Drosophila melanogaster: one gene and its partner. The protein of the gene in region 1 binds, or shares a complex with, the protein of each later gene. Each region holds a gene or a part of one and is shown on either strand. Other genes may lie near its edges. A codon is read from its position in the direction of its gene.

The links. Proteins that work in one complex are often made in the same cells at the same time.
Region 2: the proteins of tub (region 1) and pll are in contact, whole or in part, in a crystal structure (PDB 1D2Z), measured with the Drosophila melanogaster proteins. Residues at the interface, in NP_001189164.1 of Drosophila melanogaster: Ile47 (codon at 5,751), Glu50 (codon at 5,760), Asn51 (codon at 5,763), Cys53 (codon at 5,769), Lys56 (codon at 5,778), Ala139 (codon at 6,027), Glu140 (codon at 6,030), Leu141 (codon at 6,033), Phe142 (codon at 6,036), Ser143 (codon at 6,039), Asp146 (codon at 6,048), Arg160 (codon at 6,156), Asp163 (codon at 6,165), Gly164 (codon at 6,168), Pro165 (codon at 6,171), Gly166 (codon at 6,174), Ala167 (codon at 6,177), Leu168 (codon at 6,180), Ile169 (codon at 6,183), Ser170 (codon at 6,186), Leu171 (codon at 6,189), Glu172 (codon at 6,192); in NP_001263008.1 of Drosophila melanogaster: Arg35, Val62, Lys63, Leu64, Tyr65, Gln68, Gln71, Glu85, Asn88, Ile89, Trp90, Gly91, Gly92, Gln93, Tyr94, Asn95, His96, Gln99, Thr100, Phe102, Ala103, Leu104, Lys106, Lys107, Leu125, Tyr128.

The regions. Positions count from the first base shown.
Region 1 is NT_033777.3:4,382,318-4,392,715, forward strand, and holds tub (tube), read left to right. Parts: upstream 1-5,424; 5' UTR 5,425-5,612; coding exon 5,613-6,075; intron 6,076-6,141; coding exon 6,142-7,067; 3' UTR 7,068-7,496; downstream 7,497-10,398. Other genes in the region: Cont (contactin), read left to right, coding at 1-500, 553-2,238, 2,574-2,740, 2,804-3,676, 3,733-3,901, 3,963-4,096, 4,152-4,445; CG14646 (uncharacterized protein), read left to right, coding at 8,109-8,741, 8,794-9,390; CG34112 (uncharacterized protein), read right to left, coding at 9,791-9,931. UniProt on the Drosophila melanogaster protein: Plays an essential role in the Tl receptor signaling pathway that establishes embryonic dorsoventral polarity; the signal directs import of dl into ventral and ventrolateral nuclei, thereby establishing dorsoventral polarity.
Region 2 is NT_033777.3:27,251,583-27,255,182, reverse strand, and holds the start of pll (pelle), read left to right. Parts: upstream 1-2,000; 5' UTR 2,001-2,225; coding exon 2,226-2,545; intron 2,546-2,603; coding exon 2,604-3,269; intron 3,270-3,332; coding exon 3,333-3,600. Other genes in the region: TfIIA-L (transcription factor IIA L), read right to left, coding at 1-93, 159-167, 455-655, 1,558-1,581. UniProt on the Drosophila melanogaster protein: Plays an essential role in the Tl receptor signaling pathway that establishes embryonic dorsoventral polarity; the signal directs import of dl into ventral and ventrolateral nuclei, thereby establishing dorsoventral polarity.

The DNA of each region.
Region 1 (10,398 bases):
TCGGAACAGCATAGGTTCAGCAGGTGTCAGCTACCGGGACGCCTATACGGATGAAGATAACTTTTGCCCGGAGCACTGGGTCTCGTTCAGACAGACGTGCTATCGCTTCATCCGCTCGCCCAAGCGCAACTGGGCAGAGGCTAAAAAGATCTGCAAGGCACACAATGCCGACCTGATAAACGTGGATAATGTAGAGAAGCACTCGTTTATACTCAAGAATCTCATCCTGCAGAATCAACGGCAGAACCGATTCTTCATCTCCGCCCGGCAAACGGGCCCGTTGAATTGGGTCAACGATGACAACACCCAGTTAGTCCAGATCGAAGACTCCTTTTCCATGGACGAGCAAGTGCCCTTGGAAAACGAAGATCTGCACGACAATAGATTCCTTGTGCAAAACGACCTCAACAACCAAAATATCAATAATCCAAATCAGTTTTACAACTCTCTTCCGGGGACTGTTAATCAGCGCAATCAAAATAACCTTCGCGGCTTTATAGGCAAGTTTCACTATTTAAAATTGTCGATTTGCTAAACATCGTTTCCTTACAGGTCCCAACCAGCCGTATGGAGACAACCGATATGTGCGCGATCGCGTTGTGTACGCCTTCTCAAAGAAAAGGGATCGGTGGATGTTCATGCCAGCCTATGAAATTGAACTAAATCTCTTTATATGCGAGTCAAAAGTACTATACAGCTCAGACAATGTCAACATAAAGTTAGACGACAAGCGTCCCTACCATTATGGACTCGATATAAACGACATGGAACGGATTCCACGGGGTCCTTATTTCGTAAAGCAGCCAAACGACACGACTTTCGATGTGAACAAGAATCGCCTGATTAATGATGTTACTCTTAGCTGTTTGGCCAACGGGTATCCAACACCTTCATACACATGGTACCGAGAGGTATACGTAGACGACAGACTCGAGTACCAAAAGATTGATCCCCTGGCGCAGGATCGATACACCATATCAGGAGGCAACCTGATTATCTACGAGCCGAAGCAAGCGCTGGACCAGGGCGCGTATCATTGTGTGGCAGAAAACAAATTTGGGCGAATTCGATCCGAAAGCGCGCATTTAAACTTCGGTTTCATTATGGAATTCAATCTAAAACGGTCTGCGGAGACAAGCGAGATGAATTGGGGCAAATCCATATTCTGTGACCCCCCGCAGCACTATCCCGACGTACGCTATTACTGGGCTCGAGACTATTTTCCTAACTTCGTGGAGGAAGATCAACGCGTATTCGTCTCCCGCGATGGTGCCCTATACTTCTCCTTCATAGAAACTGTGGACAGAGCCAACTACTCGTGCACCGTACAGACCCTTGTGTCGGACACCGGTCGCAACGGACCCTTCTTTCCGTTGCGCGTTACCCCCAACAGCAACTATCAAGCACTGATATTTGCCAACACCTTCCCTAAAGTCTTTCCGGAGGCGCCAGTGGCAGGTGACGAGATTCGGCTGGAGTGCATGGCCTTCGGTTACCCCATTCCGTCATACAATTGGACCCGCCAAGGCCTACCTCTCCAACGCAACGCCTACACGATCAACTATGGGCGTGTCTTAATAATCCAAAATGCGACAACGAACGACAACGGCGAGTACTCCTGCACGATTACCAATCCCCGGAAGACACTTATGAAGAGCATATACATCAATATTCAAATGCGCCCACAATTTACCATACCTCTTAAAGACATGATAAAAGACTACAACAGTGACGTGACTTTCATTTGCGAGGCATTTGCAATTCCGGACGCGAATTACACGTGGTACAAAAATGCCGAACGACTCGACCCAGCGAATATTAATCGCGACCGATACATTATCCAAGACAATGTGTTAACCATTAAATTTCTAGAAAAGGATAAAGACGACGCAATGTACCAATGTGGTGCCCAAAACCAACTGAAGACCTCCTTCTCTTCGGCGCAGCTCCGAGTGCTGTCTATGAAACCGTCCTTTAAAAAGCATCCCCTTGAATCTGAAGTCTATGCTGTTTACAACGGCAATACGACAATTGTGTGCGACCCGGAAGCCGCTCCACGCCCTAAGTTTCAATGGAAGAAGGATGGACAGGTGATTGGCTCGGGAGGCCACCGGCGCATTCTGCCCAGTGGTACCCTGACAATATCACCCACGTCGCGGGACGATGAGGGCATTTACACATGTATTGCATCAAACCAAGCCGGCACCGACGAATCGCACGCGCGTGTTATTGTATTGCGTAAGTAGAAAATGTCATTCATATGCAATATACATTTTTTTTAAAAAGTAATTTTATTTTGTCAAAAAACCTACTTGTGTTTCCTCAATTGGATGCAAAATGATTTTATTTAAAAAAGTTAATTTATATATAGTTTATAAATAATATATATTTACTTTGATAAAACGCATTGTTTAGAGAACTTTTTTAAAATTGTTTTTAATGCACCTATCTTTGTTATTGTCTGAGTAGCATAGTAAGAGTAAAATGACTAATACATAATAAACTAATTTAGTATTTAAATACTTGAAATTTTATCAAGACTTATGTAAACCTATTTATTCAAATATTTACAGAGGAAATTCGTTTCATTGAAACGCCTCCACAACGAATCGTTTCTAAGGAACACGACTTAATCTTCTTGCATTGCGAGGCCGCCTTTGATGAACTCCTCGACATTGCTTATGTTTGGAAACACAACGGCGAAGTCCTAAAAAACAATCACGACGGCACCGGACGCATTGTAAGTTAATGTTCTGAAATCTGCACTAAACCTGTCCTTATATTAACCTTTTTGTTATTGCAGATTGTAGATTGGAACAGATTGACAGTGCATAACACGAGCATGCGCGATGCCGGGGACTACGAATGCGTTGTCAAGTCGGCGGTAAACGAAATTAGCAGCAAGACCAGTGTTTCTATTGAGGGAGCTCCTGGCGCTCCTGGTGGTGTTCAAGTCATACAGATAAGTAAAACGAAGGCCATCATTGAGTGGGTGGACGGATCGCACAACGGTCGTGCGATCCGCTACTACAACATCCTAGGCCGTACAAACTGGAATCGCACCTGGGTTAATGTGTCGACCCATGTGCAGGCGCGAGAAGTAGATCGATACACCTCTCGCCAGCAAGCCGAGGTTGTCAATCTGACGCCGTGGTCGGCTTACGAATTTAGTGTTACTGCTGTAAACGATCTGGGAATCGGAACGCCCTCGGCCCCCTCGCCAATTTACAGCACCTATGAGGACAAACCATACATAGCCCCGAGGAACGTGGGTGGTGGAGGTGGAAAGATTGGCGACCTAACTATCACCTGGGATCCGCTTCTACCGCAAGAGCAGCATAGCCACGGCATACACTATAAAGTGTTTTGGAAGCTCAAGGGAGCCATTGAATGGGCATCTGACGAAATAAAAAAACAGGATCACATGGGCGTGGCTGTGGTTAATATTCCTCTTAATAACTACTATACGGAGTACGAAGTCAAAGTCCAAGCCATTAACAGTGTTGGCAAGGGACCGGAGAGTGAAATAGCTGTCATACACTCCGCTGAGGACATGCCACAGGTGGCTCCTCAAAAGCCCATTGCGCTCGCCTACAACTCCACATGCTTTAATGTCACTTGGCAACCTATAGACATGTCCCGTGAAAACATTCGTGGCAAACTCATTGGCCACAGGGTATGGTTACTGCACTTAATTCCATTGCATTGTCAAAAACCCTTATCTTTCACCAGTTGAAGTATTGGAAAACGACGCACCAGGAAGAAGACTCGGTATACTACCTGTCACGTACTACAAGGAATTGGGCGCTTATCGTAGGTCTACAACCAGATACTTACTACTTTGTTAAAGTCATGGCTTACAATGCTGCAGGTGAAGGACCTGAAAGCGAACGCTTTGAAGGTGTGTAACGAACAGTTTAAAAAACCATTTAAAGAAAATGCTTAAACACCATGCTTTTTAGAACGAACATATAGAAAGGCCCCGCAAAAGCCGCCATCTTCGGTTCACGTGTATGGAATAAACCCGTCTACCGTGCGGGTTGTTTGGAGATATGTTTCACCTTCGCAAGACGAGGAACCAGTAGAGGGTTATAAGGTACAACTCCCGGCACCGTGACCAAGAAAATCGATTACAGTTTGAAACTTTCTAGGTTCGCATTTGGGAATCGGACCAGAACATGATTACGGCCAACAATACCATAGTGCCAATCGGACAGAAACTGGAGTCGTACATCAACAATCTGACGCCAGGGAAGAGTTACAACATGCGAGTCCTCGCATACAGCAATGGAGGAGACGGTCGCATGTCCAGTCCAACTTTACACTTCCAGATGGGCAAGACCACGCGCAACGGCGCAAATACCCGACATGGCCACAATATCAATACGGCTCTTATCTTAAGCACATTGCTACTCATTAGCACCTTTCTTTACACAAGCCAATGAATGCAGCACAAATTAAGATCCATAACTTTAGGCAGTAAGAACATACATATACTAAGAAGTGACCTTATATTTGAGTAAGTGAAGTTATAAAAAGAACTACATTCCATCCGTGCTCTCTTGCAAGCCCCTTAATTGATACAAATGCAATTCCGTCCATTTTATAGACTTTTATCAAAAAATAATTTCTAAAATTTTATCAACAAAATAAATATGAATACCATTATATGGTCCAGTATGTTGCTGAACTAAAAATAACAATATCCCTATTTTTTTACTTGGAATAATGAATTATGAATTAATTATGAACGTGTGCCCCGGTTGGCCATATTTATGTCCCTTTTTGTTCACCTGGTAATACTACTCCTGCATTTTATACCCGATACTCGTGAAGTAAAAGGGTATACCAGACTAGTTAAAAAATATGTAGCAGGTAGAAGAGGTCTTGATCAGGATCGATCTGGCCATGTCCGTCCCTATGGACGTCGAGATCTCAGAAACTATCACAAATCAAAATTAATTATTGTCCAAAAATATCAAAAAGAACTAAGAACTAAGTGTTTATTTTTGGTTTTTCGATTATTTATTTTGCTGCTATTTCATCGCCCGCGTAAAACGGGCGGACATGGCTATATCGACTTGTCTGTTTTTACTGATTAAGAATATTTAATACTTATATATATGTATACGTAAATGTCTATTCGAATTTCCTTTCTACCAGGTACCCGGTATTCTTCTACAATTACAAACGAAAGCCATCTATCGGTGGGGTTACATTTATTGCTCACAACGCCGGAATATGTCATTAATGAAAAAAAAAGTTTGGTTTTTTCTTACTTTGCGTTAAAAATTAGTGCAGTATTGCAAATGGCTAGCTATTTTCCGCATACGGAAATACCACACAATACCAATCGGCTTCGGGAATCCCCCTAATATTACATGACGAATCTAATATGGTGCTGCGGTCCTCCTCGGTCACACTGAAATACTGCGAGCAGCGAGCAGTAGCTGTGGGCATTGGCAAAAACATAGAGAGAGAAGATAGATGCAAACATGGTTTTATAGCGGAAATCTCATACAATCGCACTGGACATCTGGGAACTTGAACCATCGACCTGCCACAGGCAAAGGCTTTCCCGTAAGGTTATCCTGGGTAGCTAAGGGAACACCATGGCGTATGGCTGGAACGGATGCGGAATGGGCGTGCAGGTGAACGGAAGCAACGGCGCCATAGGTTTATCCTCGAAGTATTCTCGCAACACGGAGCTGCGACGCGTTGAGGACAATGACATTTACCGGCTTGCCAAAATACTAGATGAGAACTCATGCTGGCGCAAATTGATGTCGATCATACCCAAGGGCATGGATGTGCAGGCCTGCAGCGGAGCCGGATGCTTGAATTTTCCGGCGGAAATCAAAAAGGGATTTAAGTACACTGCGCAGGACGTGTTCCAGATTGACGAGGCTGCAAACCGACTACCGCCGGACCAAAGCAAGTCGCAGATGATGATCGACGAGTGGAAGACCTCTGGCAAGCTCAACGAGCGGCCCACGGTTGGGGTATTGCTCCAACTTCTGGTGCAGGCAGAGCTCTTCAGTGCGGCAGACTTTGTGGCACTAGACTTCCTAAATGGCAAGTATGACTATGTTTGCCTTAAACTGACAAAACTAAAAAAAGTGTATCCACTGACTTCTCTAGAGTCCACCCCTGCCCGGCCTGTTGACGGTCCCGGTGCGCTCATAAGCCTTGAGCTGCTGGAAGAGGAAATGGAAGTGGACAACGAGGGGCTGAGCCTCAAATACCAGTCAAGCACTGCCACTCTTGGGGCAGACGCTCAAGGTAGCGTTGGCCTGAACCTGGACAACTTTGAAAAAGACATTGTGAGGCGGGACAAGAGTGTGCCCCAGCCGTCAGGAAACACCCCTCCCATAGCGCCACCTCGACGACAGCAAAGGAGTACTACTAACTCCAACTTTGCAACATTGACAGGCACCGGAACTACGTCGACGACCATCCCGAATGTGCCCAATCTGACAATTCTCAATCCCAGCGAACAAATTCAGGAGCCAGTGCTGCAGCCACGACCGATGAACATCCCCGATCTGTCTATACTCATTTCGAACTCTGGTGATTTGCGGGCAACTGTGTCGGACAACCCAAGCAACAGAACTAGCTCAACGGATCCGCCTAACATTCCGCGAATCACTCTTTTAATTGATAATTCTGGAGATGTAAACTCTCGACCAAATCACGCTCCAGCGAAAGCTTCAACGGCTACCACATCAACGGCGAGCTCAAACAACTTGCCAATGATAAGCGCCTTGAATATAAGTAAAGGCAGCAGGGAGACCTTGCGTCCTGAGAGCAGAAGCAGCTCCAGCAGCTTGAGCAAAGATGATGACGATGATAACGATGGTGAGGAGGATGGAGAGGAAGAGTACCCAGATGCCTTCTTGCCAAATCTGAGTAACTCAGAGCAGCAGAGCTCAAACAATGACTCCAGCCTGACAACGGTTACTGGCACCAGTGGTGATAACAGCTTTGAGCTAACCAACGACTCCAGCTCCACCTCAAACGACGATTACGCTTGCAACATTCCAGACTTGAGTGAGCTGCAGCAATAGATAAAAGCACCGACCATCGGCGGAGATGACATTCCGTTCGATAACTTATGCAACCCAGATGTATTCATTTGGCAGCTGGGTGTGGACCTTCTTATGTTATGCATGAGGTCCAACTAGAATCTAAGATTCAGTGCACGATTTGTTCATATCACGTCTGTAATCGTGACAGTACATGACAAGTACGGCAATATCAAATATTTCCGTTTCAAGAAAGCCATAACCCAATACCAAAATTTAACAAATTTTGTATACTTACGAAATACTCCTTCATTTTCTAGTATAAATTTCCTTAAACGCATAATGGGTTTCTGTGACAGTTTTGTCTTGGGACAAACTGCGATCTTATGACATTTTTCGTTATTAATTGATTGTTGCCTAAAATATTTCACAAGTACGATATAATGGCTAAATACAAATAAAATATTTTTGAAAACATTGTCTGTTTTTCTCGACGTTCATACTGATAATATACCACATGACCGCTTAAGTCAAAGCCTTTTTCAGGGCTGTAAGTTCAAGAGTTTAAGGCGACTGTTTTTTCTCGGTGAAAAAACTTTAGGTTTTTCAAATGAACGAATGCATTTTGTATGTAATTTTTGTACTATTTTATTTATGTGCACAGGTTAGTTTCGTTTAGTTACTAAATTAATACACTGTTGTCCGTTCCAAAATGTACACTTACCTTTCTCCTCGGATGACATGTCCATTGCCTTTTCCGTATAACTGCAAATTTTTGATTTTAATTGTTTTATTTTTGTTGTTCGAAACAGCAAACAGTATTACTCCACATTTGCTCTAATGCCCCGTGCCCGTGGCACGCAGAATAGTCGATCTTCAAACTGCTGACAATTAAAAATGTCTCGCACCTTGTTTTTATTTAAATTCTCATTTGCTATGGCGGGCGCGGTACGATATTGGTCCCGTGCTATCGCGTACCATTCATAATATCGATATCTTAAGAACAATAATCGGGAATTTGTTGGACACCTCTAGTGTTCGACGAAACCACTGAGCCAAACAAAATCCGAAATTATTCGCAACATGGACGAGTCGGAGCTGCTATTCAATCTGTTTTATATTCTGTTGTGCATGGTGATCATCTACCCGCCAGAGGAGTTCCAACGCCTGGGATTCACCATTGAACAGTTGTTCGCTCGGTTCCTGGGAGAAGAGTACCTGGACTTTGTAGGCTACCACCAGCGCCGTACTTCGCTGAATCTCTTCGTGCACTCCTGTCTGCCCTTCTCCTACTTTCTTATTCATAGGCTCAAGTTCTCCGTCTTCGCCACGCAGGAGCCCTTGGAGGACTTCGACCTGGACCCGGATTTCCCCATGCCCCAGGAAGCGGTAGCGTTTAAAACGCTTACGTGGAAAACCGCCCAGCGGTTCAGTGTGTTGGCCGTTCTGGCGATGCCCGCTCTGATCTTCAACTGGCACCAGGAAAACTGGCGTCGGCACCCGATCAGCAAGGCGCTCTCCAAGTACTCCATCACGCCGGGCAGCTACAGTGCCGTGGCTAGCGAAATTGGTATAGAGTTCCGGCAACCGGAAATATACAAGAAGAAGCTAAATTCCATTAGCTCGGTGATTGCCACGCAGAACTGGATAATAAAAACCACCATGTACAATGTTCACTTCGCCCATCAGAGCAACACGTCGCTTAGCGTAGCTAAGGTCAGTGGTACACGATTCCTTTGTATGTGCGACCCTAATATTTTGTCCGCAGGCAGAAACTTACAACATATCGCATCAAGACCAAAACGACACCTTGCAGATGATAAGCATTATTGTACGGCCAATGAGGCAGGGTGTGAGCGACTTCCACATACGAATTAATGCCCTGGAGTTTAGGAATCTAGAGAACCGAGTCCGACGACCAATCGCAATTCCCTCCAACATTCAGTTACACCGCAATGTTATAGACCGTTTTGTGGACGTCTTCAAGGCGCAAGTCGCCCAAAATCCCATTTTTCCAGATGATGCTACTACGGAAAAGTGTTTTGCCTGCATGCTAAACGAACCAAACACCAAGATCCACAAGCAGTGTGCCGACTTTGATCGCAATGGCGCTCCCTTGGCGAACGGGGCGTGCTGCTCAAACTGCTACTGCCGGCCCATGTGGTGTGTAGAGTGCCTAGCGCGCTGGTTTGCCGCTCGCCAAAGTGACGTGGATCGTGAGGTGTGGCTGGAGCAGAAGTGCACATGCCCAATGTGCCGAGCCAAGTTTTGTGTGCTTGATGTCAGCTACATCACAACCACAGTCGATGCAACTAACAGTACTCAGAGTCAAGGCACCGAAGAAGATACTAATGACACCACGTGATTTATGACTGTTAGAGATTAAAGGACTCTTAAATCGAACCTGGTTCTTTATTGGTCTTATTTAAGTGTAATCATTTTCAATACAGTAAGACGTACAATTATATAGCTATAAACTTATAAATATGCATAGTAATTAGTGCACTTATCACTTTTTAATACTTTAACAATCTAAGCAATCCTAATATTTTTATTTTACTTAAGTACAATTGATCTAAGCATAGACAGAAAGAGTGTTCATATGAGAAATATGCCTTAATATGCTCTGCATAGGAAACCTGTAGTGCAATAAGTCCACTATCTAAATGCGTTTTATTTTCTTTGTCCTCTCAATCTGATAAAAAAGGCGTCATGCTAATTTATATACATGTGCATGATAAGTAATGGAAATACATATTAAAGATCTATAAATTCGTTTCGTAAACACTTTTATAGCTCTCAACCTGGTCACGTTGGCTTCTTGTCTGATTAGCTGCAGGCGTCATCGGTCCTGTCGCAGGGTCGAGGCACTTGGATATTGTGCTTTTCGAAGTGCAATTTGAGACCTTAAATAAAATAGTCATTAGTTAGTCTTTTACAAGAAACTGTTGTGTTTCTATTTCAAGCTTTATAGTAGCTTTCATTTCAAATTTTAATATTTTAATATTGGCGGAAAAATGTGGCATTTGATTTCTTAACGAAGAATAAGATATATTTTAATAGCGCATTTTCAAACCCATTGAAGGTAAATATTTGTATACCTTCTTATAAAACACCAAAGTAAAATTGCATCGCTTTGGAATAAATAAGGTAAAATAAATAACATTTCTAAATATTATGGACATTTTACGATTTGAGATGTGTTTGAGTAAAAAATGGCAAGACAAAAAATATTTATTAAAGTGCCGGCATGACTGTTTTGGTCAGTACATATGCACACTCAACTTTCAAGCATTTGTATTTCCCCTGATGACTAGACACCCATAGGGATAGGGACATGGCCATATCGACTCAGCTTTATTGGGTCGGAAAC
Region 2 (3,600 bases), about 23 Mb from region 1:
CACCAGCGAGGACATGGAGCTGTTGCCGCCGATATGTTGGTGTGATGTGACCGCGGTTGCGGCGGCGGCCTTCTTGGCCTTGGCATTCGCTGCCTGAAAATGAATAGAGGATTAGTGAACTTGATTTTGGAAATTCTCCCGCAGACAGATGGCTTTACCTTGTGGCTCTGCATTCGAAACGTGCGGTTGGATGTAAGGGCGCATGGAAATGAATGGGTTTTTGAATGGATTTTGATGATGTGCAAAGAGCAGCGCATTAGTCGATGTTGTTGGTGAGGCGCGTTGCATTGTAGTGGTTCAAGTGGTGGAGCATAAGAAAGATAAAGCAAGATATCTTAGTTGGAAATTTTTTTTGGGATGAAGATATCACAATTTGTATGGACTTCTACGTTAAGTTAGACAGACACAAGGATTCGCGATGAGAATATCCACCCAAGGGCTCCGTTTCGCTTACCTTTGGATTGTTGGCCACGATGGGTGGCGGATGGGAGCCATCGCCGGAGTCCGGGCTCAGCTCGACGGCCTTGCTAGCAAGCAACTTGTTGCGCCAGACCTGCTTCATCTCCTGCAGCACCTGTTCGTCGACGCCCTCGTCCAGGAACGCGTCCCGCACATTTGTGATGACGTCCTCGATCACGGCATGGTACACCTTCAGCTGCGGGCGAGAGGGGATGCGGTTAATTGTGTATAATTAAATTTGAAATGCACGACAAATCTGGGCTTGTGTTGACTTAAACACTCATTATATTATCGCGGCTCAACTTCACGCTATTAGGGCCTAAACAGTTGGGGGTAAAACAATAGGGATTGCGCAAAAAATCCACGAAGCAAGTAAAGGGCAAGACGCTATAGAAGTTGAAAATGTGGCGCACAGTATGTGGTGAGCCTTTTTGAGCTCCCATTAAAATTCAGACGCAGCTGTAATGTGAATATGCAAAACGCAAATAAAGTATGTAAATTATTTGTTTGCGAAGAATGTCGCAGTGCACATATGTACATAGATACCATGCATATGCTGGTATATATATATATGTACATTGTACATATATATACACCGGTATGCCAGTTGCTTGTTTTATTAATAGTTTGTTTTGCGTTATCAGCGGACGATAAGGAAGGAGGCCCCGACTTGTAGATAATAGCACAAGCTACGCAGCGTGTATTACTGCTAAATATAACCCCCCATGGGAGTTTGAAGTACTACGCGGAAAAGCCGAAAATCGGAAAATCCAGAGGGCAAGAAACATACAAAACTGCAAGGCAACGAACGCACTAACACAGCGACATCCAGACAGACACGCACTCGCATGCACACACATCCACACCCGAGAGGTTTGCAGTTTTGGTATCTCGGATTTCAGCAGTTGTAACTATCGTTTTGTAGTAACTACCATGACCACTGGGAAAGCTTTCACTTTCCCGCGTGGGCGGCGGAAGGAGGTGAAGCTGGAGGAAATGGAGAAACTCCTTGGTAGGATGCCTTCCATATGTCGAATGCAATGGAGCCACCGCCGCTGACACAATTACCGGATCTCGGGGATCCAGCCGCACACTCACCACCGATGTCTGGCATAGCGCCATTTGGACCTTTTTCTCCGCCAGCTTGAGGCTTTTCCGTTCGCTGGTGGGGCTAATTGACGTATTTGCTGAATTATAAATGGGCGAAGCGAAGAATTAGCGATAGCGATGCGTTCGTGACGGTGTCAGCAGTGTGGCCACCTGCGGGGCACTTGAAAACGACGCATGTCCGCCAAACTGCAAGGCTCATTTGGTCATACACTAATTGCCTTTGGTATTTTTTAAGATATTTTAGTATACAAAATACTGTGCAAATTACATAAAATATGTGGAGGTTATTTAAAATCTATTTAATATTTTCATACAGCAAATACCTTTTTAATAATTACTCTGCTTTCTTTTTACTTCTGAATTTTAAACAGTGGCTCCTAAGCATCTACCACTTTTTCGAGTGTATTATTTGCTAGACATTGGCAGCGTTGCCAGACTGCTTCGCTCTGTTAAGCTGCTTTATCACTTGTTGCGCCGCTGTTAACAAGTCATCCACAGGTTTTCATCGAATCGCGTTGGGAATTTACCCAAAAGCGATTTTCGTTTCGCTGCAACAGGTTACCAGCGCCGCCAACCCCTCATCCAACGGGCACTCTTGCATCCGGAGCCGCATGAATCAGTCGCAACCGGTTGAACCGCCCGCCCATAAGTGAAAGATGAGTGGCGTCCAGACCGCCGAAGCCGAGGCGCAGGCCCAAAACCAAGCGAATGGCAACAGGACCAGGTCGCGTTCCCACTTGGACAACACAATGGCCATCCGACTGCTGCCGTTGCCCGTGCGAGCCCAGCTATGTGCCCACTTGGATGCCCTAGACGTATGGCAACAGCTGGCCACGGCCGTAAAACTCTATCCCGACCAGGTGGAGCAGATAAGCAGCCAGAAGCAGCGTGGCCGCTCAGCCTCCAATGAGTTCCTCAACATTTGGGGCGGTCAGTACAATCACACGGTGCAAACATTGTTTGCTTTGTTCAAAAAGTGAGTCAGTTTGAGATAATAACCGCCGAGATCCCAGAAATGACTCCTCTTACTTTAGATTGAAGCTTCATAACGCCATGCGTCTGATCAAAGATTACGTTAGCGAGGATCTGCACAAGTACATACCGAGGAGCGTGCCCACCATCAGCGAGCTGCGCGCTGCTCCCGATTCCAGTGCCAAAGTAAACAACGGCCCGCCGTTTCCCTCCTCCTCGGGCGTCAGCAACTCAAACAACAATCGCACCAGCACAACGGCAACGGAGGAGATACCCAGCCTGGAGTCCCTGGGCAATATACACATTAGCACCGTACAGCGGGCAGCCGAATCCTTGCTGGAGATCGATTATGCGGAGCTAGAAAACGCCACGGACGGCTGGAGTCCGGATAATCGACTGGGACAGGGCGGATTCGGAGACGTGTACCGCGGCAAATGGAAGCAACTGGACGTGGCCATCAAGGTGATGAACTACCGCAGTCCCAACATCGACCAGAAAATGGTGGAGCTGCAGCAGAGCTACAACGAACTCAAGTATTTAAACAGCATCCGGCACGACAATATCCTGGCCCTCTACGGATACAGCATCAAAGGTGGTAAGCCGTGCCTCGTCTACCAGCTGATGAAGGGCGGCTCCCTGGAGGCTCGTTTACGAGCGCATAAGGCACAAAACCCACTACCAGCACTCACCTGGCAGCAGCGGTTTAGCATCAGCCTCGGCACGGCTAGGTGGGATTTATCGTTTCTTTAGTGCTATCAATCTTCTTTAACTTTTCATTTCGTTTCCAAAAGAGGCATCTACTTTCTGCACACGGCGCGAGGCACACCGCTGATTCATGGAGATATTAAGCCGGCCAACATCCTGCTGGACCAATGTCTGCAGCCAAAAATCGGAGACTTCGGTCTGGTGCGCGAGGGTCCCAAGTCCTTGGACGCTGTGGTGGAAGTGAATAAAGTTTTCGGCACTAAGATCTACCTGCCACCGGAGTTCCGCAACTTCAGACAACTCAGCACGGGCGTGGACGTCTACAGCTTCGGCATTGTGCTGTTGGAGGTGTTC